Linked DNA regions of Oryzias latipes. The protein of the gene in region 1 purifies or fractionates together with the protein of each later gene. This does not show direct contact. Links are inferred from orthologs where the notes say so. Each region holds a gene or a part of one and is shown on either strand. Other genes may lie near its edges.

The links.
Region 2: the proteins of srf (region 1) and myocd purify together in Homo sapiens (affinity purification with western blotting; 3 studies listed by BioGRID and IntAct, with this or other methods). This does not show direct contact. The link is inferred for Oryzias latipes from reciprocal best matches to the Homo sapiens genes SRF and MYOCD.
Region 3: the proteins of srf (region 1) and mkl1 purify together in Homo sapiens (affinity purification with western blotting; 4 studies listed by BioGRID and IntAct, with this or other methods). This does not show direct contact. The link is inferred for Oryzias latipes from reciprocal best matches to the Homo sapiens genes SRF and MRTFA.

The regions. Positions count from the first base shown.
Region 1 is NC_019873.2:29,038,327-29,048,388, reverse strand, and holds the start of srf (serum response factor), read right to left. Parts: upstream 4,652-10,062; 5' UTR 4,306-4,651; coding exon 3,676-4,305; intron 1,801-3,675; coding exon 1,534-1,800; intron 1-1,533. Other genes in the region: ptk7 (inactive tyrosine-protein kinase 7), read right to left, coding at 7,694-7,854, 7,924-8,102, 8,189-8,340, 9,265-9,345, 9,433-9,665, 9,743-9,904. UniProt on the Homo sapiens protein: SRF is a transcription factor that binds to the serum response element (SRE), a short sequence of dyad symmetry located 300 bp to the 5' of the site of transcription initiation of some genes (such as FOS).
Region 2 is NC_019877.2:20,225,284-20,235,291, forward strand, and holds the start of myocd (myocardin), read right to left. Parts: upstream 5,699-10,008; 5' UTR 5,341-5,698; coding exon 5,286-5,340; intron 1,963-5,285; coding exon 1,897-1,962; intron 1-1,896. UniProt on the Homo sapiens protein: Smooth muscle cells (SM) and cardiac muscle cells-specific transcriptional factor which uses the canonical single or multiple CArG boxes DNA sequence. Acts as a cofactor of serum response factor (SRF) with the potential to modulate SRF-target genes.
Region 3 is NC_019877.2:1,888,737-1,898,445, reverse strand, and holds the start of mkl1 (MKL/myocardin-like protein 1), read right to left. Parts: upstream 5,581-9,709; 5' UTR 5,349-5,580; intron 5,236-5,348; exon of another isoform or gene 5,214-5,235; intron 4,814-5,213; exon of another isoform or gene 4,811-4,813; 5' UTR 4,784-4,810; coding exon 4,750-4,783; intron 199-4,749; coding exon 16-198; intron 1-15. Other genes in the region: uncharacterized protein LOC101163526, read right to left, coding at 6,956-7,353, 7,474-7,535, 7,602-7,621. UniProt on the Homo sapiens protein: Transcription coactivator that associates with the serum response factor (SRF) transcription factor to control expression of genes regulating the cytoskeleton during development, morphogenesis and cell migration.

The DNA.
Region 1 (10,062 bases):
CAGTGGTTTCATCCCAACAGTCTCCTTCACCTTAAAGCCTCTTGGCGTCTCCCCCCACCATGTTGTGTTTAGACTAGCTTGGACGTCTGCGCAACATCCCGCTCTCATGATGGATGTGATCCAGACTCTGCAGACGCTCGTGCAGCCGAGTGGGAACCGCGTCCACCTGCAGCATCCAAATGGCGGCGGCGGCAACCTTCCCGACATTTCCAGCGTTCTTTGGGTGGAGAGCTCTGACCTCCGCCCTCACGGCAGTGGAAGTCTAGAGGTTTCCACGCCGCGCGCTCATATCTGCATCCATACCTCCCCTCCGTATCACTGAGGGGAGTTGGGGGTGGGGTGGCGGGGGGTGTAATCACAGGACTCCAAAGACAGCTGCAGCTTATAAGGAATGTGAGGGGCCTCAGCCAAGAGAGCAGGCAGGGAAACCATACCATATATGGTCTCAGAGACAGAATCTCATTTTTATCAATGAGCAGGGGGGGGTTCAGAGCGGCACCGCACGCCGGCTTCAGCCCCCACCCCGAAGGAGCACCCCCACACTCCGCTGGCGGCTGGGAAAACACCATGCGGGCTAACGGGCCGTCCTCAATGCCGTGTAAACACCCGGGGAGGGGGCGGTCCCCGCTTCCAGCATGCGACTGACTGCCCACGGGGTGGCGTCGCCGGAGAAGACGACTTCTGAAGTCATTTCATTCATTCTTGTTCTGAACGTAAAGCACGGGTCACGTGTTCCGAGAACGCCGCCATGCTCTTCATCCACAGACCTGCTCTGACCTCTCTGCTCCTCCTGGGGGCAGAGGTCAAAGGGGAGGTGCACAGGAGGATCCGTCGGCCTGCCGGTTTAGACCTCAGCCATCGCAGGAATCGTACTGCGTCCCAGCCGCAATCGTGTGTTCTAGTTCCAGGTCTCGCTTTTGACTGTCCCCGATAGACGGGACGCGTGGCGGGAGACGGGACGCGCGGCGGGAGACGGGACGCGCGGCGGGAGACGGGACGCGTGGCGTTTACACTTTTCCAGCTCCATCAAGATGCTTTGACCTACTTGAAGACGTTTGGGGTAAATTCATGGGGCAGACGAGACGAGGTTGGAGGTAAATCCGGTTTTTCTTTTTTTGTGTATTTTAAAAGCCTAAACATGCCAAAGTACTAAACCAAAACTAAAGGTCGGGTTGAGATGATTTGGCAGCTGGTTCATATCTTCTTCAGAAACTGCTGAAGTTTAGTCGCATTAGAAAGTAAACGTGCAGCGAAAATGTTTCGTTTTTTCCTTTTTTTGGGACCGAGTCTGAAAGAAATCATGTCTGAATTTAGGATGGCGTCATGGCGACCTCGTCTGTAAAAACCCTGGAACGTGAACAAAGGCTGTTCTCAGGTTTAAGGTCCGTAAAACTCCAACAATGTCATCTGCTTGTGTCACATTTGGCAGCGACTGGAGCGATTCTCTTCAGATTACAAATGACGACACGGAACCGTCCCTCCACAGCCCCCTCAGAGGTGGGTCAGACGGCGCCGCTCGCTCCTGAAGCTCACCTTCGTGTCGCCCATGCTCTCCGACTCCGACACCTGGTAGGTAAGATCCGTCTCCTCGAAGCCCGTGGCGCTCATCCGCTGGTCCATGGAGGGGTCGGACCGAGGCGGCGAGTCCGGGGAGTTCAGGCACGTCTGGATCAAGGCTTTGCCCGTTTCGCTGGTGATCATGGGCTGAAGCTTGCGGGTGGCAAAGGTGTAGACGTGACCCGTTTCACTGGCCACCAGCAGCAGAACCTGGGTTCCTGTGAGGGTGGACAGTTCATACGCCTGGAACGAGACCGACAACACAACATGAAGACCGGAGCGGAAACGCGGCCCTCAAACATCTCAACGGGAACGTCAGAACTCCAACCTGCAGAAAAATCCAGAAATAAAAGTGATGCATTTCACCACAGAGACCAAAATAGCAGAAGATAAAGGTTCGAGTCCAGGAGAAGCTCGTCCCTCCAGCGAGGAGGACGGAGGAATGGCTTCCAGCAGATGCTTGGACTCAGACTGCATCCAACACACACATCCGACCAAACGGCTGCACTCAGCCTGAACTCCCCTCAGAGTCATCGCTCATCCTGAAGATGCTCCCGTCACCGTCAGGGAAGGCCGCCATCCCCCTCAGCACACGCCGGCGGGGGCGTCGCCCCAGAACTCGCAAATCAAATTCAAATTTGAGAACTTTATGGAGCCGTTGTAAAACCGGCGAAAGCTTCAGAGTAGCGGTGGAGAGCAGCAATCGTCCAGCCCCTCTGCTCCTCGCCGTGACTCCACGCTCACCTCCCCTCGCTGCCTACCGCGGCGCCGCTTCAACAACACCGCCGAGTCTGGCCAACGTCCAGCCTGGAAAAACGGACTCATTTGTCAACCTGAGCGTGGACGGCGGCCTTTAATAGGGCTCCTCGCTCTGCCAATTTTCACATAAATATGAGTAGCTGCAGGTGGGGGTGGGGGGCTGCTGTCTCCGCCTGATTGGTTCCTTTGGCACAACTAAAGCGGAGCCATTAACGAGAATTGCCGTACAATAACAGGCATATGTTAACCCTTTAACGCCTGTATTCATGCCAGCTGTTCTCAGGCTGATGCTCAATAAAGTTATTTTGGAGCCAAAGTGGTTTGATCCATATATGCATCAACAGACGTAAAGAAGTTCAAATAAAAACTTTGGCTCTTTGCTGTTTTCTTAGGCCTCATCCGGGTCCAAAAAGACTCGAAACGTCCTAGCAAAAGAACTCAGGAGCCCGAACCATCACTTTATCTCAGGCCGTGTTGGGGGCCACTGAAAACCAGCGGCAGATCCCTGCTCCCTGTAAACGACACGGCGTTCACCACGAACGACTCCACCGCTCGCCGCCGAGGAGAAACCAAAACGTCCATGAGAAGGAACCACCTACGGACCAGGAACAGAACCTCCAGCATCACGTGGATCCGTCAAAATGAAAGTTCAGAGCTACGATGAGTCGTCCCACTCCACCCACCTGTCAGCTCCTGTCAGGGCTGACGGAGTGTGGGCAACAGAAATCTCCATCCCCTCATTGTTGCCAAAAGCCCACATGAAGACACCACAGTTTCCACGACAACAGTCTGGGATGCATCAAAACACAACAGTTTAGATGGTGCTGTGGAAATAAAAACACACTGAAAAAAAGAGGAGTTTTTATGAAATCTGGCTCCTAATGACCTTCAGATGATCAGCAGAATATTTCTGTGTGATCGGGTTTTTAAGAGAGCGGTTCCGTGTGCAGAAGAACCAAACATGAGTATTCAATGAGGTTCTGCTCCTGGTTCTGGGTGCACCATACGGTGGTCTGTGCAATCGTCTGGTCCGGTTCCCGGGGGTTTAGTCAGCTGTTGGCACATGCAGGCCTGCAAGCCATGTGGCAGCTGCATACATGCATGCATGCATGCATGCAGCTCCATGCATGCATGCATGCATGCAGCTCCATGCATGCATGCATGCAGCTGCATACAGTTATGTGGGGTGAACTTCGTCACAAGCAGAACCGGGATCCTGCATCCTCTGAGGAGGATGTCAGAACTTCCAGACCCAAACTCTGGACATGCTTTCCTCCTCTGAGGGAGCTGTCAGCTCACAAATCAATGAACCAATCATCTTAATCAATCAATGAGCGTGCACGCGCCTCACACACTCACCTTCTTCATGATGCCCGTCTTCCTCTTGCTGAAGGTCGTGTACCTCCGTAACTTGTTGTCTATAAACTCCATCTTAATCTTCACGCGCCCCCGGGTCTTCTTCCCGGGCTTTGCCCCGGCGACTCCCCCGGACACCATGCCGTAATCTCCGGGGGTGACTCCCGCCTCCTGCCCCGCCGCCGCAGCCTCCATCATCTCCCCCCTCTCCCGCTTCACCCCTCTCCTGCTGTCCCCGAGTGACCCCACCGGGTCGTCGTCGTCCCCGGACTCAGAGTCGTTGTCGGAGCCGCTGCACACCCGCTCCGGGTCGAACCGGGCCCCCATGGGCAGCACGACGCCCGCGTTCAGCCCCACCATGTGTCCCGGTACGGCAGCCTGCAGGGGGTTCCCTCCGGTCCCGTTTCCCGGTCTCGCGGCCCTCGAGCCGCCTGGACCGTTGGCTCCGAGCATCCCAACCGCGTCCCTGTCCCCGGCGTGTCGCCCCGCAGCGCCCGCGCCGTCGCTTAGCCCCGGTCGGACCAGGACGGGGCGAATCCCGCCGCCGACAACCCCCGAACTGTGACCGGTGCTGCCCTTGCCGGACGCGGACCCGTTTCCAGATGGTACCGATCCAGCCTGGCTGGGTAACATTATATTTAGGTGACCGACCGAGTCCCGAGACACCAGCTGGAGAAGCTGGAGCGTGGCGTTGCGTGAGTGCCTCCTGATATATACCGCACGCGCCGGGGCCACGCAATGTAAACAAAGCGCTCAGTTGATTTGGACGCTACGAGACATTAGTGACCCAGACTTTGAGAGTGACGCTGCCCCCGGACCCGCGAACCCGGCTCCGTTCGGTCCACACTCCTCCTCTATTTCCAAAACTCTCCGTACTTTCTCAAAAAGGAAAGCGCGAACAGCTCCGTCGATATGACTCCGCTGCGTCACATAGTTCGCCGTGTGAGCAAAAAAAAAAAGGCCGAATATAACACCCTATGTACTCACGCGAAAACGTGAAGGCGTCGCTTTATTTACATTATTTAGTTTACGTGGATCAGAAATGCATAAAATGATCCCGCATTTTAAAAAGTTATCGCCACGGCGGAGTGATACGAGAGCCAGGGAACTACTTTCCTCCTTATAAAGAGATACAACGTTTCCTTATATGGTGCTGTCTCTCCTTATTTGGTGAGTCACAACGTCGCCTGCTGATTGGTTGAAGATTATCTGACTAAAGCAGTGATTGGACGATAATAGAAGCTCATTTGAATAAATACCAAAATGGTTGCAGTGATGTCAACGTCACAGTCAACGCTCATGTCGCCGAAAAGCGCAACAAAAACACAAAGTTTTCCGTTACAGATTATTTGAGTTTTTTGTTACGCAGTTTGTAATTCAAACATTTGTCCCCATCAACACAAATGTAGAAAAAAAAACATTACAAGCCAACAATAAAATAACGTGAAAAACAAAAAGTACAACAAAAAGCGCGTGGTGATTTATTTCAGTCTGCTCGGGCCTCAAACTCACCTGTTGGTCTACCTTTATTATGACGGCTGGACCAATGAGCTGAGGTCACCAAACTGAGTCTAAAGGTCACGGATGGAAAAGAGCTTCAAGGTCAAAACTGGTCCAAAACCATATTCCTCTTATTCTAAAGGTTCCTGTTAAAAAAAAAAAAAAAAAAAACTTTATTAAATCAGCCAAATCTGGAGCAGCTACAGCCCAACACCACCCAACCTAAAGAACCCCCCCCCCCCCCCCAAAAAAATGTGGCTTTTTTCTAATTGACATTTCATTTCTTTGTTCAAATCGCTGTGAATCAGGAGCAGAAGAAAAGATGCTGTTTGAAAAGGATTCATAAATATGCTGGGTGGTCACAAGCTGGTCTAGGCTTTCAGAACAGTGATGGGAAAGGGGGCGGGGTGGCTCCACATTAACAGCCTCGGTGGAAGACGACACAGATTTGTTTTAGGCTAAAAACGGCATCATCACTTTTAAAAGGCCACTAGGAAGACTTTGAAAATAGGGCAGAAGATGATGAGCAGAACTTCAAAGATTTCAAAAATGGAATTTAGAAAAAGTAAAGTTATGTTCCATCAAAAAAAAAAAAAGACAAATCTGAGCTCAAACTAAGAAATTAAAGGATAAATCCATCGTCATCATCACGGTGTGCATATATGTATATATGTCAGGTTAAACTTGTCATGGAAGTCAACAGGAAACTACATTAGTTTAAACATGAGCATAAAGAACTTTCTTTTTAAAAATAGGTTTAAAAAGTTTAAAAACAAGATCAAAACGGGCCCAAGAGCTACTAGTTTCCCTCAACGATGGATGGATTTAGAAATAATCAAGAATGACTGAAAACTTATCTGGCAAATATTTATGAAATTCCACAAGCTTTGATAACAATGAATATTAAACCTAATTATGAAATGTTAGAACACTTAAACACTGATTTTTGAGACCATGTTCTTTTTTAAACTAAATCCATTTCTACATAAAAACACCTCCCCCTAGTGGCTGTTTAGGTTACTGCACGGCCACCTCTTGTGGTTCTGACTCGAATCCTCAGAACCACATTTCCATGTTCTGTTTACATCCCCGATACTTTTTTATGTCTTCTAGAACTCTTCAAGTGTCAGAGTGTGAACAGAAGTGTCGCCAACATGACATCACTCGTTATTTTTAACCACGCAGCTGCGAGCAGAGGCCGTCGACTCTGCCACGAGCTGGAGCGTGCAGGAAGAGCACTTTGACTCCATTTCTGCTCATATTTAGACAGCAAAAGATTTTAAATAATACAGAAAGAAATGTTTTTTCAGCTGTTAAAATCGTTGGAGCAAATATTTGTTATTTTCTGAAGAAAAGAAAAAAGAGCATTAGAAAATGACAATATCGTCAATAGAGAAACGAGACGAGAACCAACCTGAGTGAAAACAACGAACCTTTATTGACAGCAGCTTGTATAGTCTGGAATATATCGGATTATTGTGAACCTTTGCTGAAGCGTATTAAAACAAAGTCTAGGAGTGAGTTCCTAGCATTCATTTAAAAACAATACACTAAAATCCACATATATATATATAAAAAACAAGTTGATAAAAAAGGACTTGCATTTGATTAGATATCCCAAAAAAAAGGGGGGGACTGGTTAAGATAATCCTTCATTTTCCAGGCACTTAAAGGAGTTCTGGTGACCCGCATTTGTTGGCTTCTGTTGTCGGCGCCTTCAGACTGTGGAATGAACAGAGAAGGAGCTCACAGTCCGTCTGCAGAAACAGGACCGTCATCATAAATAAGCAGGCGCCTGCGTCTCCGTCTGCACAGCGGGAAGCAGAAGGAGCGTGACCTGAAGTTAGTGCACCGCTTCTGCATCAGAAACACTTGGCCGGGCCGGGCCGTGCCGGGCCGGGCCACGTGGTAGCCACACATTTTTGGACCTCGGAGTTTCGTTTGGACCCTTGAGTCGCGGGGTGAAATCTGGCGACAGGCGGAATCGCCGTGGCGTCCGCATGGTGGTGTTTGCACGTCAACAGAGGCGAGAAAGCGCCTCCAAAATAGAAAAGCCACATTAGAAAAACATAGAAAAGTTCACACTGGCACAATCTCATCCGTTTGTGGTCCTTGGCTATAAAACGGGATCTTCTGCTCGTGGATTGTTGTGGATCAGCGAAGCGACAGACGACAAACCTTCATGCAGACGTGATTCACTCCCCAAACACACAGACACACACTTTGAAAGTTTGGAGGGTTTAACGGAAGCATCCGTCCATCCTCACAGGGTCAGGGGTGGAGGGGGGGCGGAGGCACTGCGGTTGTGTCCAGGAGGGGCTGCAGATCACCGGGGGGAGGGGGGGGGTTGCATTTAAGGCGGAGCTCCGGCGCAGCTCAGAGGGACGTTCACACTAACTGACATCAAGAGTCTGATCCGCGCTCCGGATCGAGTCATAAAGTCGTTTTTCTCTTCAACCCACCTCCCGGGTCGGTTCATAATCCAGCATTTGTGTCCCAGCCGCGAGGGGGGGGGTTCTGCTCAGACCTTGCTGTCAGACGGCAGCTCCCCCAGCACGTGGACGATGTCGGTGAAGGACGGCCGCTCCTTGGGGCCGAGCGCCCAGCAGCGCGCCATAAGCTTGTAGATTTTGGAGGGGCATCCCTCTGGGGGGGGCAGCTTCAGCTTCCCCGCCTTCAGACCTGCAGCACCGAAAAGAGGTTCAGAAAAAAAGCGGGACGGTCGTTCTGACAGCCGGCGGCTTTTCTCACCTTCCAGAACCTCCTCGTCGTCGAGTTTGGAGTACGGCATTTCCCCGTGACTGAACACCTCCCACATCAGCACGCCAAAGGCCCACACGTCCGACTTGGTGGACAGGTCGTCCTCGAAGACGGACTCTGACGGCAGCCAGCGCAGCGGGATCCACGACTGTCGGTAGTGATAGTACTCGCTGTGCACACATGCAAAGAAAAGGAGAACCTTACTCCTCAAAGTTCCCGCCCTCCTGCGTTTGGCGCCTTTTTCCCCCCAGCAGACCTGTTGTAGACGTCCTTGCTGAGGCTGAGCGAGGACACCTTGACCCGCCTCTGGCTGTTGATCAGACAGTTTCGGGCGGCGAGGTCTTTGTGGACGAAGCGATGGTTGGACAGGTGCTCCATGCCGCGAGCCACTTGAGCACAGAGAGACATCTGGACAGAAAGGCAAAGCTTTTGTAGGGAGATCATCCGAACGTCAGAACAGAAACATTTCAGAGAAACATCAGATGATTTAAAGAAATCTTCAGGTAACAGGATGTAAACCTTTGAATATAAACTAATCATATGCAGCTGAGAACAGGACAAACTGACAAAAGACCAGATCCCGATGAGCGGATGGGTCTGGCTGGTTCATACGGGGTCAAGAGGTCACCCATGTGTTTTGGTGCTAAACCGTTCAAAGAAAGACCTCAGAACTGGACCGATGCGGTTCTACATTTTTGGTCCCTGTGATAACCCCAGCGTTCAAGTTCTGAATCGGTTGATGCTTTTTTTTTGGGGATAAAACCACCGTCACAGAGGTCACGCCCACTAAAGAGGAACGCAGGAAGTTGTTTTTTCCCGCTTAGACATCAGATCTTTAATCCTTGAATGTTTCTGGCCTGGTTGGTGCTTTTCAGATGAATAGATTGAAGCTCTGTGTTATATATATGTGTGTGTGTGTGTGTGTCATCGGCATAGTTATGGTAGCTAATGCTGTTCTAACCACGCTGGTCAGAGCTGCGCATGAAGAATTCATTAAAAAATAAAACATTTTTCAAACTGGCAGCTGTTCGGTTGGTTTTATCTCCAGAATAGTAAAAGTACACTTTGGGATTTCCTTGGCAACAGAGGAGTTTTCTTTAACCACACCCACATTCCTAATCTGTTCATGCTCCTTGCTATCCAATTTTCCCAATATTTCAGGAACAGAAAACTGCGAGCAACAGAGGAACGCCACTTCTGCACGCTGCTAAAAATCTACAAGCTTGTAAAACCAACATGTTTTTTTCCCCAGCTGCTTCTTAATGATGCTGGAGGATATGGGAGGAATTGAAACGTGGGTGATTTTTTATTCGTTCCTGAGGTCAGACTCACTTTGGTTTTGGTGCTCAGAGGCTGAGACTTCACTTTGTCGTCTTTACTTTTGGAGATCCTCAGATATTGTTTCAGATCTCCCTGTGAGGGAAAGAGCCGGCAAACATGTGATGAGGAGAAACGCGTCTGAACTGTTTTTAGCGTGTCAACACACGGATGTGCGCGTACCCGGTCGTAGTACTCCAGGACCATGTAGTGCGGCTCTGCTTCCCTGCACAGGCCCAGCAGGCGGACCACGTTGGCGTGGCTCAGCTTGGAGAACATCTCCGCCTCGCGGCGGAAGTCTTGCTGCAGCTGCTCGTCTCTGGTCTGCAGACTCTTCACCAGCACCACCGTCTCCTCCTCGCCCTCCTCGATGCTTTTGGCTTTGGCCAGCAGCACCTCGCCGAACTCGCCTTTACCTGAGCAGACGTTCCCGCCTCAGATCAGAGATCCCAGGAGGACAGAGGCTGAGGGAGGGGGGGGTTGTCATGGTTACCTAATGTGGTGATGGTTTGGAGGTTTGCCCGAGGAAAATGAAGTTTGTCGCTGTTGACGTGGCTGTGGCGTTTCTCAGTCGTCGCGCTGGTTCCCATGTTGGCGAGCGCCACTTCCTCCTGGATCTCGGCGGTGGTGTGGCCGTTTTGCTGAACAGCACCGCCTGGTAAAACACACCTTAACCTCAACTCTGCCCAATTATTACAAACAAAACCGGTTTGTTTAAAGCCACCGGTCCTTTAATTCAACGTTCAACTGAAATGACCTCCATCAAAATCTACTGCTGTGTGCAATGCCCGCAGTGAACACAGGGTGGCAGCA
Region 2 (10,008 bases), on another chromosome or scaffold:
CACTTCTTTAAAACGCTGCAACATGTCATGCTGCATTCTCGTGAAGATGGAGAGTTCAATTGTCACGTGTCGCGTGCTGGCGGCCCCGGCCACTCTCATCAGAGGACACCATAAATCCCAGGAGTGTTCTTGTTTTAGGAGAACGCCTCCCCTGGTAAATACCAGCTCAAGCTGCACTTCCACTTGTGTGGGCGTGTCTGCGCTTTGATGCAGTGCCGTGCTGTAAACAGGTATGCTCTCTAAGAGCCAATCAGCTGCTGAGTCTGCTCAGAGCTGCAGCATTCCTGAGCGGTCAGTCACAGACCCTGAACTCTCTGCACGTCTGTCTGATCTGACAAAACATAAGAAAAATCCACCAAAATATATACTTTTCCTCCTTCTGGGGCTACATAATCCTTCAGACTTGTGCTTCCTTGGTGAAAATCTCATTTATGGTTGGTGGAAAAGTTGTGTACCCATAATTGACGCACATTCATATGAGATAACTGCCTGTTAGAATTCATCTCTATACATTTTCTAACTCCTGGAGCATCAAAAATCCCATTTCACTTGATGCTGATGCAGCGGGACATGTTGCCATGGTAACACACACCATACAATTATCCCAGGATGTTTCTCTCCACTTATTATTTCATAAAATATGAAACTGTCGTTGTCACATGAATGTAAAGTATGTTTGAATTTCTTTTCTTTTTTCCCTGACTGATGGAATTAAACAGAATAAGAGCACCATGAAGAATCATCACTGAAGGCAAACTTTCCTTCACACTGACATAAAACCTTTCTTTGTAAGTTTAGCAGTAAAAAGCTGCGACGGGGTGAGAGCAATACAAATTCTCATTTCATGTCATCATCAGTGGTCCTCCCGAGCCGCGGGCCAGTACCGACCAGTACCGGACACTTGGTACCGGGCCGCAGAGAATAAAAGCATTACTTACATTTTTCTCTGTTTCATTTTTCATTTGAAGTTTTATTTTGAAAAACTACTGGATTTTTCACCACATCCAACTCATTCTTGACGCATGTCAAGTCGCTCTGTCACGTGTCCAAAATCCATTCACTACCGCTAAACTGAAAGTCCCCAGGTTTGCAAAGCTTAACAAAAAAACGAACGTTTTTTGGAAAGTTTCTTTTTGCCTTCAACTTCAAAATGAAAGAAAACTTAAAAATTTAACAGACAAAAACCAGCAGTCTTTCCTCCAAATGTGGATTCTTTTCGACAGTTGTGAATTCACGTTTATTATTATATTTAAAAATGTACGTTTTAAAAAAGCGTATTTAGAATTGTAAATTCTATTTATTTTATTTAACCGTCACACCTTTGAATTTGCACGAAGTTGAAGATGGTGTCTGATTTTTAGCTTCCACTTTGAAAAAATTGATATTACATTTTAATGGTTCTTACAAGAAATCTAGTGTACACATAAAGTTTAAATCAGCTGCAGATATGTTACAGAGGATAAAGATAAACTTTAGGAGTTAAGAGAAATGTATAAATACTGTAGACATGTTAGGATAAGAAGTGGGGTCTGATTCTTTCGAGCATTACACGCATTTCCTAACTTTAAACACTAGAGGTCTCTGTTTGTTATAAAAGCTCTGTTATGCTAAAACACAGGTCGTGTGACCTGCATCTTTATTAGATTATCGTTGGAGTAACATAAGGTTGGAGCTCCAGTTTGAAGTTGTTTTCATTTGTCTTCGGGAAATCCGAACACGCTGCCGATAATCAGGACCAGACAGAGAGGAGAGCTGACCTTTCACCTCCCTATCTCACTGCTAATTGGGGGATACTTCCTACAGATACTCCCCTCAGCCTCCCTGAAGGCGAGTGTGCGTGTGTGTATGTGTGTGTGTGTGTGGCAGCTCTGGGGGGGGGGAAGGGGTGGTACTCACGAGGCATGATGCCCTGGTCTACCAGCTGCTCTCGTGCCCTCCTCTGCTGAAGTCTGAACTGTAACACTAAAGTTTGAAGGAAGAGGAGGGAAAAGAGACATGGAGAGGCAGGTGAGGGACCAGAACCAGCAGTTTCAGAGCAACACATGACTGAAGCCCCCACTCCCCGACTACATCCCAACCCGAAAGGCCGAGGCTGATGTGCGGTGATTCCACCGGCATGTTCTCCGCCACAGAAGATCTCCTAAATGTTCAGAGCAGGATGTAGGGGCCGATAAACACAGCTCCTGGCTTTTAAACAGATCTGCCGTCCGGTGTGTGGTCCACGTGCACGTGCTCCCCCGTGCTGTGTGTGTGTGTGTGTGGGAGCGGGGGGTTATAAACACAGAGCCTCCTCCATGTCTGTGCCTCTGCTTGTGTCTCTTCTGCGCCCCCCCCCCCCCACTTTTATCTGAAGGTCTCCTGGTCTGATTGTGAATCTGACGCATGAGGACAAAATGTGCCCCCCCCCCCACCGCACATCGCTGCCCTGCTGATGAAGACGCTCAGGTGGTTTTCGTCCAATGACACAAACGGGGGGGGGGGGGGGGGGTGTACAGTCCCATCAGCACCTCCATTATGTAACTGCAGACCCTTCCCTGCATCCCACATCTGCTTTAGTTTACACTGAGCTGGGGGGGGGGGGGTGCATCCAGCAGCAAGATTGCGATGAGGTCAAAGTTTTCTGTCATCTTCATGAAGCTGCAGGAGCTTCTGTCCAGGACAAAAAGCTGGAAGAATCCATGGAAAAAATTCCAAACTACAGCGTTCCTGGATTCTGCTGAGGTTAGATTGCTGCCAGGTAGAAGCCTCATTCTTCTTCACGCAGCAGCTTCTGACTCACGCTTTTTAAAAAAAACTGTGCTTTTTACTGACAGGTTATTAATAACCCAAAGCCTGGCTCGGAAACCTAAAACGCTGGTTCCAGCAGGAGAACAAAGGGCACGAGCCGACCGTCACATTTACAAGAGCTCAGATTTACAGCGTGTGTGAGGTACGGCCTCACGCCACCGCCGTGAACACAAACCAGGGAGGGGATGCTCTGAAGGAGCGCTGCCTCCCCTTTTACCCTTTGAAACCAGGAAAAAGTTTGGAGACAGCTGAGAATTCTCCCTCTTTTTTCTGTTTTGAAAGGGCTTCCTCTCTGTCCTGTCCTGGGTTGGTTGCATCGTCGTTGTGTGTTTTCTTGCGCTGGTCGGTGAACAGGATCTCCAAGAACCTTCTAAAGCTGCTTGGTCGTTGGTTCTCAGTGCATTTTAAAAACGCCTTCAGAAAATGTGTCACAAATGTGATTAATTTTCTTAAAACAAGCAAAATTTCCAATAGGTTGAAAAATGCTCTTAACCAGAACTCTTATCCCAAGAAAAAAGTTTTTCTCACGTTTTCTCAAACTCAGATTATTCTGCTACTGAAAAACTTTCTGGATAGAAGATTATTTTTCTTTTAAGACAAAATGAGATATTTTGTCTTAAAATCTTTTTTTATTATGTTCATAAGATTCAGTTTTTGCCATGCGGAGCTGCTCCTCCTGCTGCTTTAGCCTGCAGTGTAAATTGTTTGGTGCATTTTATAAAAGCCAGTAATGCAGCCTAAAGCGCTGACTGGACTTATGCCCTGGAAAAACGAAACATTCATACAGATTTGATAGTTTCTAAAGCTTAATTTTCATTTAACTCCTAATAAATAGTTGTTTTTCTTGTGTACTATTTGCAGATTGATTTGCTGTAGAATTCTTTGAAGATCATAAAAAGGATAATCAAATCCTTTTGCGACATCATTGAAATCTGTATTTTAGGTTGGTTTGGCGCCCTGCAGTGGACTGGTGACCTGTTTAAGGTGTAGCCCGCCTTCACCCAGCAGCTTGGTTGACTCCAACAACCCCGTCACCCTGAAAGGGATTAGTGGGCTCTGAAGATGGATGGATGGAGTTGGTTTGGTTAAAATCAGACAAATAAAGTTGTAGGTTTTATCTTTGCCAGGTAAAAATTCATCGTCAGTGTCACATTTTATACTACCTCCTCACGTTAAACATTTTCTGTAAAAAGCATGTGATTCTTACATAAAAATGAGAATTCACCTCCGAGTTGTGGCCGATGGCCCAGAGCAACCCCGCTCCCACTTCCCCTCCCCGTTACTGAGAGCTCTCTGTTTACAAGCTCTCCCGCTATCTTACAGCCCCTCACAACCCCAACCTAACATTACCATGGCAACAAAAATGGCCTCAAATATCGGAGCCATTCAGCCTCACAGTTTAGATCCAGACACCAGCTCTGACGAGGAAAACAAAGACAGAAATGGATCTATTTGTCTGGAAGTGGATGCATCAGAATGGAGAGGAGCGGGAAGTTTCTGGCCCCATCTGCATTTTCTACTAAAAAAATATGATAATTTTACAGCTGACTTTTTTTTGGTCTGCTCCTTAATTATGACAATTTGACTAAAGAAATAGTCAGAAATGCAGTTTTAAGATTAATTTCCTTTATATATATATGTCCTCCATTATCAAAAAAAAAAAAAAAGCCACAAGCTTTCACCAGAGTGGGTCTTTAAGACTCCGTCATGGAGTTTGAGCTCAGCGCAGCAGAAGACGGAGGAGCTCCTGAAGGAGAAGTTTATCTTTATCCTCTCCTGGGGCGGAGGCGAGAAGGCGCCTTTTGTCGGGGGAGCTCCAGCTTTAAGAGGACTGTCCCACACCCTCCCTGTCTGTCATCAGCAGTAATCGCGGGGGACCTCACTTCTCTGACACCCCCTCGTGGCTTCACCCATGCTCTCATGAATCAGCTCGCTGGTTGTTATCGGCCGTGTGACTGAAACATCAGGCTGCACACTGCATCTGTGGCGCGTTAGGGGTGCCCGGGTTACAGCAACACAGTCTGGTAGCCACCGTCTCATGCCCCCCCCCAGCACAGATGCCGCTTTCCGGTCGTTCCGAGCAGCTCAGAGGAAAAGCGTCATTTGCCTCTCCATCTCTGTAATTACCACGCTCGCAGCCATGCTGCTTCTCCTGCCTCCTTCCTTCAGGGAGGGGGCAGTGTTGGTCAGACTGCAGCGCCGACAGGCTGGAGCAGGGAAAAGGGACGGAAAAAGACTTCTTTGAAGCGCAGGACACATGCATGCCCTCCATTATCCACATTCAGATGACCTCTGACCTCCACATGGCTGTTTAATTCCAACCCCCCTCCCCACAGCAAGGACGCCGGTTGTGGAGAACAAGTGCAGCAACCTGTGACAACATCCCAGATCTAAATCCATTACAGCTGAAGTCACCCCCCCCCCCCCCCCCCCTGCACCTGCCACTCTCACTGCCAGCCCCCCCCCACAAAGACAGCAGAAACAGGAAGATTCCCCACCTGATCTGAACTTTCTTCGTATGAGGATGGAGTGCTCAGAGCCCAGCAGAGTCATAATGTTCACAGTACAGTTCCAGCGCTTGCAGGTCGCAAAAAGCAGCCCCCTTGACGTTGACCCTGGCGACCTCCGCTGCTGCCCAGACGAAGAAGAAGAGGCCCGCTCTGCCTCATGGAGGAAAAGAGCTGTGGAGAGCCGCTTTCTGCCTCCTCTCCTCTCTGTGAGTCTGTGGGCCGATGAGGCTTTGGTCCCATCCAGCTGAGAGCTCTGAGCACGCCAGGGACAACACACAGATATGCCCCGCTCAGGGAGGGGCCAACCAGCCAGGGTTCCCTCCAAGCCCCTCCCACGAGGCCCGAGGCGCAGCAGGGTTCGGCTGATGACTCCTTCCTCCCGCGCCACCAGAGTAAATATATCTGCCTATCAGCCCAGCTGACTGTCATTAGGGGGGGCAAGGGGATTACTGTAGATGACGAGAAAAAGATCAAGATAGAGACTTGCAGTCTGATAGGGGAGCACAGCAACTGTGTGTGTGTGTGTGTGTGTGTGTGGGGGGGGGGGGGTACAGAGAAGAGGGCGGGAAGCTTCTGGCTTGCATACTGACAATAACATTAAAAAAAGTTAGGAACCCCCCTTTTTTTCTTTCTTTTCATAGCTTTTTCTCTCATTGGTCCCCATTTTCAGTCACTTCTCCGGCTCCAAAAAACAATTTAGAAGTCTTCAGCAAATTTGAAATAAAAAAAACTTTGGTTCTTTTCAGGAAACAACAAAAAGGTCAAATGAAGATTTTCATTCCCAAGGGTTGGAGCTTCTTCCATGCTCTCCATTAGGCTGGATCTTCCCTGCACTCACTTTTTAACCCTTTAACACCTGAGCTTTAGCTCCAGCGTTACATTCTTTGGCCTGCCGTTGCATATTAAAGATAAAGTGTTTTATATCGAACATGAGGTGTTAAATATTGAACTTTAAAGAACCCCTCCAATGAAAATAGTGTTTTTACGTGTTTTTAACATGCCTTTGTAGCATTTTTCTTGCCAATGGAGGACACATCTAAAGAAAATGAAGATTAAAACTGTGTTTCTGAGTTTTTCCTTATTCAAATAATGATAAATCAAATGAAAAAATGCTGTTTCGAAAAGCTTGAAGTTTTGCCACAAGCTCCCTGCTCAGTTCTATTCTGATGCATCCACTTATAGACTAATAGATTCATGAATGTCTTTGTTTTCCTCGCCTGAGCTGGAATCTGGATCACAACTGCACGGCTGGATACCTCTGATAATGCTCGCCATTTTTGTTGCACCGCCAATGTTAGCAGGGTTGTAAGGGGCTGTAAGATAGCAGGAGAGAATGTAAACAGAGAGCTGATTGGAAATGAGCGCTGGCTTATTCCACGCCATCAATCCCACCCACATTAAGAGGTGAATTTCTAAAGGACCCCTGCTGCTCTGCAGAAACTATGTCCCAGAAACAACAGGTTTTTTTTTGGATTTTCTTGGGTCAAAAAGAACATAATTATCATGAAAAGACCACTGGGAACGCTTTGAGAACAGATCAAAAGATGATCAGAGTGGGACTTTAGAGGTTGCATATGGAACGTTAAGTGTTGCGTGTCAAATATAAGCTGAGCCCCAATCCGCTGATTCACAGTGATCGCGTATATAGTTGAAGCGTTACGGCACGTCAGATGGCGTGTGTTCTTTGGTCACCGATGACACCTAACTGAACTTTGACCTCCAATTTCTCCAGTTCCATAAAACAAATATTCCTACTGATTAAAGGCTTCCATGGATTGCCTTTGTAAAACAGATGAACCTGCCCTCTGTTGCTTTCAGAGCCTCCAGAAATGCATTGTTATTCGTTTCTCTATTTACAGGGATGCCGTTTCTTTTGCAGCAGACGCCTTTGGTGTTTAAAATGAGAGTGCAACACAGGGTCTGTTGGAGCTGCACAGAAACTGTACAGACTGGAGGGAAAAGGTTTACAGAGTGACAGCTGTGTGAGTGACGGCCTGTTTAAGGATTCGTAAAGTATGAAGGATTTTCAGCAGAAAAATGGAGGCCTCTTTGGAACTCTCGCTTTGTTTATGACAATTCCAGTGAAAGCTGTCCTGAGTCCTAAAAACCAGCGTTTCTTCCTGACGCTGTGTTTACTCCCCCGCCTTCATCGATACGCTCAGGAACACAACAGCTGATCGGCTGTGTTGTGTCTGCCGCAGCTCAGACGCCATCGGTGTTTGTGGCCAGCCTGAAGCCTTTGAAGCCTGAACCGGAGCCACCAGGAGTCCAGCGACGTCAGCCGGACCTGCACAGCTCCAACAGCTCTTTGTTCTCAGATTTTACGACTTTATGAAGTTTGACACAAAACCTTAAAGAATATAAACAGCCTGAAAATGTGATGAAGTAGAACGTGTTCTTGTTTTTGTTACAGAGCAGAACTTTGGTGCTTCACTCACTGAAACCAGATTTAAAGGATTAATGCTCACAGCTGAAGACGCTAAGTTTCTGGGGGTGGGGGGGTTGTCTGAACAACAAAGCTCAGGACAAAACAGACTTTGTGTCCTGAGAGTGTAAGAAAAAATCCTTTATTATCATTTATGATAAAAACAAACCAAAAAATACATTTGAAACCTTTTAGATGTTTTAAACATATCCAGCATGTAGCTTTTCAGAGGAAGTTCACCAGAATAGCTGATTGATTATTTACAATCAGAAGAGAAACTGTTGAAAAAGGCTCACCCATCCTGTAATAAAAAGTTTTGCTTAACACAATAAAATATAATTTCATCAAAAATAATTTCACAAAAATTTTTAAAAAGAAAATTGTCTTACATTTGGTTCGCTTAAAGTGAAACAGAGTTTGTTTCCCTCAATAACCCAGAAGAAATTTCTGGTCTAAATACACCCAAGTGGACACTGGTCCGGGACCAGGAACCACTCTTGGAGGTGGTCTCATGATATCTATTTCATTAACGCAGGTTTTTATTTCTGGTGTCTTCTTACAGACTTGTGTCTCCGTACAAAGGGTTGTAAGATGACTTTTGTTGTAACTTACTCCTACAAAGCAAGTTAAATTGGTTTGTATTTGCGGCTGAGTGATATGGATTTACGTCAAAGGTGTGGCACAGATGTCAGGTAATAAGTGGTTTTTCTACAAATAAAATGATATTTAAAATGTGGTATTTTAGACCAAAACATCCTTTTTTGGTTAAGCTGTATTTTTTGAAAACAAAACAAAACAAAAAAAGCCTACTAGCTATACTAGGGTATTTTCTGTTTGTTAGCTAGATCTATAACTTATGTAAACTGACACTTGTGGATCGTGGCATTGCTGAAGGACTTAAAAAAAAAAGCTCCACCACATTCATCTGTTTTTTTATGTTTTTTGATTGCTAGAACAATCTTTTATGGCTTTCTTTCCTGGGGTCCTCAAAACAAAATATTTCAATGCTATTCTATATAATTGTGTGGTCAGTCAATGAAGTTAAAAGACTCTGGATTAAGTCCGTTTTTCAAAACTTTCAGTTTATTTTGTGTTTTCAGCTCCACCACCAAGCTAACAAACACATCCACTTTCTCCCCGGAGCAAACGGGCGCCGGTCTCTAATAGTCTTTGATTGTAACTTTTTGACCGTTTACACAATCAACGTGAATCAGCTGATTCTGACCTGGAGAAAAGCGGCTTTTCATATCAGCTTTACCCCGACATGCAACACCTTACATTAGTAAGCATTTCACTAGTGGAAAGTGTGATATATCAACTCAAAGCTGCTTCTCTGCTTCAGACTCAGCTGGAATTACGTTAAGTGCGTAAACGGTTGAAGAGCTAAAACAGTTGAAAGAATGTCAATATGTTGTTTCTCTCTTTCATAAACACGCAGACAGTTCAACTTTATTCAACGTCTTCTTTTCTTGAGTTTTTCTGTAGCTACATACCACCACATTCTCTCTTCCACTTTGTGTACAAGCTGTAGCCACAGAGCAGATCAGTCATTCAGAGTGTTGTCCAGCAGCAGATCACTGCTTCTGCCTCGCCACCATCCATTTTCATCTCTTCACACCATAAACACAGCTCGGGTTTGTTGCTGCGAAGCCTTAAACAGACCAGCGTGATGCGTATGGCAAAACATGTAATATTTTAGCGTAACAAATGACGTGCCCTGTCTGTTTGCCGTTCGTCTGCCGGTTGACGTGTGCCGGAGCGAGCTCCAAAACCCGCACAATATTCAAGTCAAATATTTACACAGAAGCTTCTTTGGCTGCAAATCTGTCCTTGACGTTTGCAAGTGGCTTTGTCTCGCATGAGCCTTAACACACACACAAAGAACATAGGTGCACAAGTACACACATCTTTGGTGTGTTAATTAGCAGGTGGAAATGCTTAAAGGGAAAGTCTGTCAGAGGATTTGACAGTGTACACACATCTTGGAGATTCCTGAGGAGGTCATCCAGCCCTCGCTTAATCCTCCCCTTTAATTGGGCCCCGTGTCAGCGGACATAACAAGTCTCATCTGAACCGTCTGGAGCCACACGCGTGTTTGTGTTTGACTATGATAAAACCACAAAAGAGGGTCACACGTTATACTCTAATTAGACAGAGCCAGGAACAGTGTATCCAGCAAACGTGCAGATGGGTGAGCGCTGACCGTCAAGGACTTCAACGTCTTTGCGGTGGCCGCATAAAAAGCCAGCTTTCAAAACACAACAGTGCGTGTTTATTGGCGATATG
Region 3 (9,709 bases), on another chromosome or scaffold:
ACTCAGAGGACTCACCGTTCTTGCGTTCCTTTAAGGGCGGCAGGTTGGGCGCCGGTTGCAGAGTCAGCTCCTGAAGCTCGTTGGTCACGGCTTCACTCTGAGGGCTCAGGGCCGATCCTGGAGGTCCGACGACTTCCATTGTGCCAGAACCAGAATCCCTCCGTCCGTGGGAGTCTACTGTTATGGCGACTGACAGACCTGGACGTATAGAGTGACCTGTGTCAGTACAGAACAATAGATTTACCACTTTCCCCAGCAATCTGGTGACTATTTTCATTCTCACCAAATGAATGACTCGTTTTGAAAAAGTTACGTGTTGCAGCAACAAGACAATAAAGTTTACATGTTATTTATCATATTTTGTGGAAAACGTCATTATTGGACCACAATATTATGAGACAGGCACATTTTTTTTACACTATTACGGGAAAACTTTTTACAATCTGCTATTTAGTTAACAAAAACACTGTTTATTTTGTTTGCGTTTTTTGTCTAAGGTGGATTTCTGCTGTAAAGTGTTTCTGGATGTAAATATTTTAAATAAAATCCCAGTTTTTATGTGACTTGATAGCAGCTAAGATGATCAGCGCTCCAGGCTGTGAGAGGTCGAGCTGCTTCGTCTCAGTCCAGTCGCATCCGTAGGAAATCCTCCACTACAACCCCATCCCACTTCCATCTCTGTGGCAGCTTCCTCACGAGGGCTTAGCCAAAAGACCAAAAAAACAAAAGAAGTCTAGAAGGATCAGATGTTCACATGGAAGTGTCTCATTAAGGAAACGCAATTATTTGGGACAAGATGTGAAAGTTGCTGCTCATGCAATACACTTTATTCAACCTCCAAAAAGAAGCCAAAGGTTCCACCATGGAATCAGATAAAGACAAACAGAAGGTTTAGCCAAATCAGAGATGGTTTTCGGCAGTATGATAAGTTCTCCGGACTGTTGCGGACTTCAAAAAGCGGCTGCAGCTCCTGGAAACAGACCTTCTCTTTCTGCTCTCAGCAGCTGCAGGAGACGAAGAATGCGCGGCTGCAGGTCAGAGATTAAAAAAGCCATCTGGGAAGAATTAGCATGTTCGAGCTTTAACAACTGTTGCTGTAGAAGCTGTTTCAGTTCTAACGTTTATAGATTTTAAGCTTGATTTTCAAACAGACCTTAATTAGTGGAGGCCTCTTAAAGTTAAACTAACTGTGTTTCAGCTAATCACATCTGTTTGGAGTGAATTATGGTGAATATCAAGCTGTAGATCATCAAAATGGGTTTTTATTTGCACAGAAGTTTTAGCCCCAACACCTGGAGACCTGCAGGCGTAAACGGACATAACTGCAAATGTATAACCTTAACTTAAGAGTTCTAGTTGCTTAGCTTAAAGATCAACTCCGATGTAAATGGTGTTTTTAATATGTGATGAGAAGTGGGAGTGGGATTGCCCCACGCCAACAGACCCACAACTAAGAGGTGAATTTCTAATAAACTGCTGCCGCTCTGCAGAAACCATGTCCTAGAAAATGACAGGTTTCTTCTTAGTTTTGGCAAAAAAACCTGCATAATCGTAGTTAAATGACCACTAGAAAAACTTTGAACACAGATCAAAAGTTGATCTAATTCAACATGGTAGCAACAAAATATTAAAATGCCAACATCAATTCTTCAGATATTAGCTTATCATTCGCTAACAATATGCTGATGTGAAAGACAGGAAAGTTGGTACATTAAATCCCCAATAATGTGTTTAAAATAAGGACTAACGAAAAGATCGATGTCCAGCTGTGGTGTTCCAAACTTTAGTCACAACATAGAACTATTTCACTTGAAACATGAGAGAACGGTCGCTCAGACCGGCACGCCTCATAAATCCTCACATTTACATGCTAAGGTACGAGAGGCTTTGCATGGGCCCAACAGCTGATTTCCCGTTAATCTACCTCAGCTTCTGCCAAATGAAGATCTACTCAGCGTGTTGGGTTTACCCTGAATGTCTGCAGACAGAAATGACCCTGCCACAAGCCCCTAGACTAAAACCACCCATTGACGCCTAAAATTAATTAAGTTTGCGTCAGGGCGCCCCCACTATCCTGTCACCGTGCTGCTACGTTGACCGTATGTTGCTCTGTGTAGAACACACTGGAAGGAGGGGGGGGGGGGGGGGGGGGGGGGTTAGCACGCAGGGGAGAACAACTTGGAGCTGCAGAAGTGTGAACAGGTAGATAGGCGGGGGCGGGGCTTAGACTCACCGCTTATGATTCCAGACCCGCAACAAACTAAAAGCTGCTTCCTAATAAAAAATAAAGTCTCATCCGTAAAATTAATATACTTTATTGGGTTTACTGGATTTGGCTAGACAGACAGAAAAGCCTATTCAAGGTTGTGTTAAATGGACAAAAGATCAAAGGAAACATAACGCTCATAAATAAGTAAATAAATATCCTGACAGCATTTTGAATCAATACAAGTATCGCCAAATGAACTATCGCGATATTTCGGCAAAATGATTTTTTTCTAACAACCCTAGTGTTGCGGCTCCCTGTGCTTTCACAATGGCTCTTTGAGTGGTACAGGTTGCAGATCCCTGCGTTAAACCATAAGGCCTCATATTTCCATCCTTCTTGCATGTGGACACTTGGTGTCTGGTCAGACCTTCATGATTTAATGACTTTAAAGTGTTGATATATGTGCCGCAGTGCATTCTGGGAGAGCTTATACTTGGATTTCGATTTGAGCCAAGGTACAGTTGACTTATCCGGACTTTTGTCGAGTCAACGGCAGCTTTTTCATGACTTCGTATTGTTTTTTTACAGCTTCATGAAAGGTGATTGAAGTCCCCAAAACCATCCCCTAAACCAGGGGTCGGGAACCTTTTTGGCCAAGAGAGCCATAAATGCCACATATTTTGAAATGTAATTTCGAAAGAGCCATACAATAATGTAGTGTCCCTTTCCCACACTGAGGCACGGAGACTTAACCTCTTTTAAAGTTCTTTATTCCGATTACTGCAGACCGCAACAAACGCCGTACAATTAATTCAGCAACTCCTGAATCTCTCCCGCCGAGACGAGTGCGCTTCTCCCAACTTTATATTCCCCTGCTACCGCTGCAGCCCCTCCCATTTCCCTTATTCGGCCCATAGCTGAACCCCATTGGTCCAAACTACCTAACAACAGGCTGAGCGACAGAACTGAGAGCCAATCAGATCTCTGCTTGACGCGTTCAATGAACTCCAGAACTTTTAACGCGGCCCAACAGCCATCCAACTCAGTCCGCGACAATTTGTTTAAAACTAAATATACAAGTGAATGTGTGCATTTGATTTAATTTCAACATTTTTAAAGTACAATAAGTCTGTGGATTCTTTTTAATAACATTGTTATGCTGTTGCTAATAAATGATGAGTATTTCTCGTGGTAGTTTTGCTGATGGTCTAGTCTGGTTGATACGTGGTGAGTTTCTGCTTCGTTCAGGCGTTGAGACTTTAAACGTGATCGTAGGTCTGAATGTTCTGTAGATGTGAGACAGACTGCTCACATGCAGACCTGGAGTTAAACACACACTCACACGCCGCAGTGAGTGACAGGCAGCGGGTTTTACGTTTTTACAATCCCTGCGCAATTCACCTGCTGCCTGTCCCCACAACCCCTCACCCCCACCCTCTGCTTTCTCCCTCACACATCCCGTCCCCGCATCTGCGCGCTCTTTCTCAGAGACGGGAGCGCGTAGTTTTAGGCACGTCAATTCACAAGTTTCCAGCTGGTACAAACTCTGTGAAATAATAGATAATAGTAACTGATAGCGCTGGCGCAGATTTCTCTCTCTAAGCACCGCTACTACTGCGCGCTTCTGGCATCGCATCGCGCCCGAGGACTGGTCTAATGAAAAAAAAAAAAACTATAATTAAAGATTTGTCTGCGAGCCACATGTGACCATCAAAAGAGCCATATATGGCTCGCGAGCCATAGGTTCCCGACCCCTGCCCTAAACACTGAGGAAACGTGACATAAGGCACAGACACATCGTGAAGAGTTATGTCAATGAGCGCAGTAAGGAGCGCCAACGGCCTAAAGCCTTTAGTACTGAATAATAAACTGCATGTGGCAGGAACAAAGCTTGGAATTACATTAATTGGCAGATTTAAAAAATATATTACAAATTGCTAAAGCACCTGAATAATGTCCTGTGTTTGGATCATAGATAGGGAGGATGTAGAATCTAGAAGACAACAAGAAAAACCTCCATATTGATACCTGTGACTACCAATACCTCCACTATTCTCAATCATTAAGACGTAAAATATTTTAGGTCTTTTATTGACCCTCTTTTTTTTATTTTTGTGTTCAGAATAGAAAGTCCTGTCATCTTTGCTCACCGAATTTTCTCTCTGGGCATTAGAAAAACGTGGCTGGTTGTTTCTACTGAAAGGCTGATCCATTCCATATTTGTTTGAGGTTTAAATGATATGAAGTTATTTGCAGTTAAAGGCGAGAAGTAAACAAAATCCAACAGTGTTCTGTGTTGAGCTGAGATAAAATAAAAATGACAAAGGAGGAAGACCCACATGCCCACAAAAGGTATGTCCACACCTGCCTCCAAGAACTGCTACACATCACAACATGCAGGTCCCGACAGTTTTGCTTCCTCGCAATAGAAGTCCAAGAAAGACACTACCACGAACTGCCTGGAACACCCTCTCAGTTCAGGTGAAGGACGGTGTCTGCACGTGCCCGTGCAATCAACAGAGATCAGCCTCGCTGCTTACCTGTGTTTGGACAAGCTGAGGGGGGTGTTGCCATTTCAGCAGGGCAGCAATTCCAGTGGCGCTGCTGAGGAGGAAAAACAAGAGGAGATGCGTCCAAAAATAAATAAAACATCCGCAAAGTTAGCAACAGTACAATCACCCTGGATGATCATGGAGGTTGCAGAAATGTCTGAAATGGCAAAAGCAAAATAAATGTGTGTGGGGGGCCTAGGCACCGAGAGTCTGCACAGATGCCGGGGAGCCGACAGCTGTCACTGTCCAAAACAGACATTCACGCTAAGCTAATGCTAGCGTGTCTGGCTTGGAGTTTAACGGAACATTCAAGCTAATTTTCACCCCAACAGCCAAGCAAAGTGGCACAAAAACTCCCAAGTAAACACAAAAGTGATCGGTGGCTACAAATACACACTTTGAGTCGAAAGAGGTTGTAAAGTAAACAAAACATGACATGTTTTCCTGCTTACACCCCAATTTAGCTCGCTGCTAGCATACCACAGCAGCTGCGCATTAGCACTAGCCGCGCACGAGCTCTTTTTCTGTCCCCTTCGCGCTCAAAAACAAAGCAGACATTTCTGCGCAGTTCACAGGCTCGTGCTCACTTGTCATCGTCGCCACTTGCGCGCTGCGTCTGGTGACAAACGGCCTCAGCATTACAGCGCTACTTCCGAGTCACAAAGGAAACTTTAACCGGAAAACCCTCCTTCTCTGTGGGACTCAGGGAGACCCACTTCCTCCACGACGTCACCGGACGGTTACAGCACTGCTGCTGCGGCACACGCTGTCCGCGCGGACCGATAAATAAAAACAAACCATTGGAGAATTACCAACATAAAGGGTGGAGAAAACAAAACTGATTCAGAGAAGTGCTTCTTGATTGGTGTTTGTCTCCCTCTAGTGACAAGGTGGAGGCACTACAGGTTCCCTATTTAACCCTTGTGCTATCTTAGATGACCCCACCCATTGACGTGTTCTCCCTACCATGACAAAGGTGGACAGATTTCATGTAATCCATGGACACCAGTGAAGATCTCAAATCATTGAAGAAAAAAAAAAAGGTTCAGAGCACCGTCTAGTGGGTCTAGATGACCCAACTCCAACGTTAAAGTGCCTAGGATAGCACAAGGGTTGAGTATCTAAGTCCCACTGATTTTGCCGGCTTTATCCTAAATAAAATTCAGATAGTGTTTAAGGGCGGCTCTGGATTGTTCAGCGTTGGCCATCCATTAATTCACGTTTATAAAACCCTTTGAATTTTTTAAATTAGAGATTACATCCAGTTTTGCAGAACGAGCACCCTCCGTTGCTACTGCTTACTTGGCCAACTGTCTTCAGGGTGGTTGTCACATTTTAAAATGAGAAATGATACATGGCCAAAAAAAAAAAAAAAAAAAAAAAAAAAAACTCAATTTAGGCTTTGATACATTTGGGGTTACTATGGCAACCTCCAGCCACCATGGCATTGCCCCTGCCTGTTTTATACAAAGGAGTTTCTGCAGAGCAGCAGCAACTAATTTGCCTCAGAGTTGTGTGAACGAGCTGTTTATATGCTCTGCTAGCTTATAGCCTCACATTGACACAATTTTTGAAATTTGTTTTTGGGCTCTACATACAAATCAGCTGTTAAAGTTTAGCCATTTAAACTTTAACCGATCAGGGAGCTGGATTTGGGGAAGGCATAGCATCCTTTACAAAGCACGTTAGTGCCCAGCCGGCATTAACGAGTCTCTGGTATCAAGAATTATGTGCAAGTAAAACCCAGGAGCAAACCTGTTGACTGCAGGTGGTACTTGCTTGTCCAGTGCAACTCTGTATGCCGAAAGTGCACTTATGAAACCACACATTTCATGATCTTGATTGTACAACACATGCCCAGTGTGTCGAGGACAGCACCACTGGTGCAATATGGTTCGCAAACTCTGCTGTGCAGATGCCAGCTTGAATGACAAAGGTATACATCTGAATTAAGTGTAGCTTTTGACCTGCACAGCAGGTTTGTCACAAAAGACCACTTTCCAGGAGCTTCCCAAAAGAAAAACCTCAGAAATCCAAGTCAGTCCATTTTATTGGAGAAATAGAAACAAACTTAGGATAGGATAAGATTGCAACATCATGAGTTGAAGTTGTTGAGCTGAGTTGTTCTCACCTGTAAAGAGAATGTTAGGTTAAAGCTCATGTCTTAAATAGTCAGTATTTTAGTTGAAGTACCTCAGTAGGCCTTGTGTCCTTTGGAGTCAGTCATTGGAAAGTTCCCCTTTCCAGTATCCAGCAGAGGAATGTGGTCAAAGATATCCTGAGTGTATTTGGCGTCGGAGCGGAAGTCCCGTGCTCGCTGATACCCGCTGCTGACGCGGACGATGTGGGATGAGGGGTACAGCGGGCGCTGCTCCACCATGCCCAGGGGAACCTGGTCAGGGGTCCAGGCGAAGCGTGGGAAAGGACGCTCAGGTTTGTAGCTCATGGCGTCTTCAGCGATCTGTCCCAGTCCTGCATCCTGCTCATTGAAGACCACATTTGATCCACGGCCAGAACCACCAAATTGGGAGATAGCGCCACCACTGCTGTAAGTGGACCCGTCGAAGCCCATCCCGGTCTGACCTGAACCTACTAACAAAAAAAAAAAAAAAAAAAAAAAAAAAAAAAAAAAAAAAAAAAAAGTTTCAGGAGAATTTCAATGAGCCTTCAGCTTCATTACACCAGAGTTCAGCCAAAGACAAACATCTGTACCTGCTTTTCTGGGGGGATAACAAGCACCAAAGCTGAAGAACAAAAGGCCAACCAAAGAAATCCTGTAGAGAAGAACCTCAGTAAATCCAGAACCAACAGTACCCCAAACAAACCAGAGCAGAACTTACTTCACCACACTCTGAACCATCTTAGCAGTTTGGAAGGACAAAGTGAAGACAAGAATCTTCCCTTCAGTTTCTGAGGCTCCGTATTTAAACTGTTCTGTGGTCGTGGATCTCTTTCAGTGGAGTGCCACCTGATTGAATTAACCTAATGAGTCTCACCTGGTGCCCCAGGTGAACTGCCAGCATGACGCTAATAATTGATGGAAACGCTGGCAGCACTGACTGATGGGTTGATGTAACTCTCTGTGGTTTGCTTCTCTGTTTCTTTTTTCTTCTTATGGATCAAGTAGATTGAAAATAGAAAAAACGAATGTGTTTACTGACGTGTTCGTCTGTTTAATAAATAAATCTTTTTATTTCTATAAGGAAAAGTTTGTGGTTCAATGTGTGGTAACACTTTCACTTTACAGTCTAAGATCCTAAATTAACTTTTATTTTGAAAACATTTAAAAATGTAATGAATTCATATCAAATATTAAAGCAGATTCCAGATTCAGAGATTGGTTTTCAGAAACTAGATTAAGCTGCTTTCAGTGATTTTAATTTGACACATTTTCAGTTCGTCTGCATAAATAGTAAGCGTTCCTCATTTACTTATGGCGTGCAACAGAGCTCTGAGCTGGGACTGATACTACTTTGTTTTTACATACTTCCATTGGGCTTTTTGGCAGCACAGATTACTTTATGTTTCTATGCAGATGACACTCTGCTTTTTTTCAGTTTAACACTGTTATGTGATTTGATTTACCAGCCTACAATCATGTCTAAATGATTAAAAGCTAAGCTGACTCCAAAAATAGCATTTTAATTTCGCTGGAATGGGAGTTGATGCTTTGACCTGAAGAATTCTCCCTGAATTAATATAAAGTTTATTTTTTACATAATTTAGATCTTCATATTAAGAGAAACCTTGATGTATTGTAGGACCAAAGATGTTCTTTAAACAGAGCTGCTTTGATCTATTCAGTGTTGCCAAAAGGAACATTTCTTCCAAAAGAAACACCCATCCATCCGTCCGTTCATTCGTCTGTCCGTCCATGTGCCTGTTGGTCCGCCCGTCCTTCTTTTCATCCATCCATCCATCCGTCTGTCCCTTGCTTCCTCCCACTCTCCCTCCCTCCATCCATCCATCCATCCGTCTGTCCCTTGCTTCCTCCCACTCTCCCTCCCTCCATCCATCCATCCATCCATCCATCCATCCATCCATCCATCCATCCATCCATCCATCCATCCATCCATCCATCCATCCATCCATCCATCCATCCATCTATCGCAGAGCCACATAGAAATGACTTTGAGCATTTGTTACGTAAAATCTGATCAGCTGTAATTTCTGCTCTAAAGATAATTGTGAGGAAGTTTAGAGCAACAGTTTTACTGTAATGGCAGAGAAAAACTCTCTGAAGCACATAGCAATGAGACTAGAACGCCATTTAAAGGACGCCAAAGCACAAAGACTCAGATTTCATTAGTTTCCAAACAGAGAGTGGTCTATGTCAGCCTGCAGTTTTTATCGTTCCAAGAAATCTCAAAACTTCAAAAATAACCAAAAAATCTGACACAACAAATGATAAAAACAAATATCAAGATTTGGATGGAATCTCTTTTTTTATTCTCATTTAAGGACCTTTATTTTTAAGACAAATGCAATCAATGACTCCCATAACAAAGAATTACTTTTCTGAAAGATTCCAACAACTGTTCTCTGTCGTTGAAAGCTGCAAACGTGAATTAAAAGTTATTCTAAAACAAATCATTGTCATCATTTTTGTTATTCTCTAAATGTTTTTCCTGCTTGAACTTCAGAGAGGGGTGAAGGGCTTTAGCATAAAGATAACATTTTTAATCCATGGCTTCAGGATGTTGTGACTCAGTAAAATCCTCTAAATATCCCATCCTGGTGCTTTTTCATTGGTCAAAGTGGAGTCTTTCTGTGGGAAGAACGACTCTGTCTTCTCTCAATTGAGCTGTTCTAAAGTTAGATGAAAGCCGGTAAAGAACAGCAGAAGATCGCCCCAGACAACAAGAGAAGAATTTACTGCATGCCTCATTTTAAATTGTGAAAAAAATAAAAAAATAAAACAAACACTTGAGCAAAACGTTTGTAAATC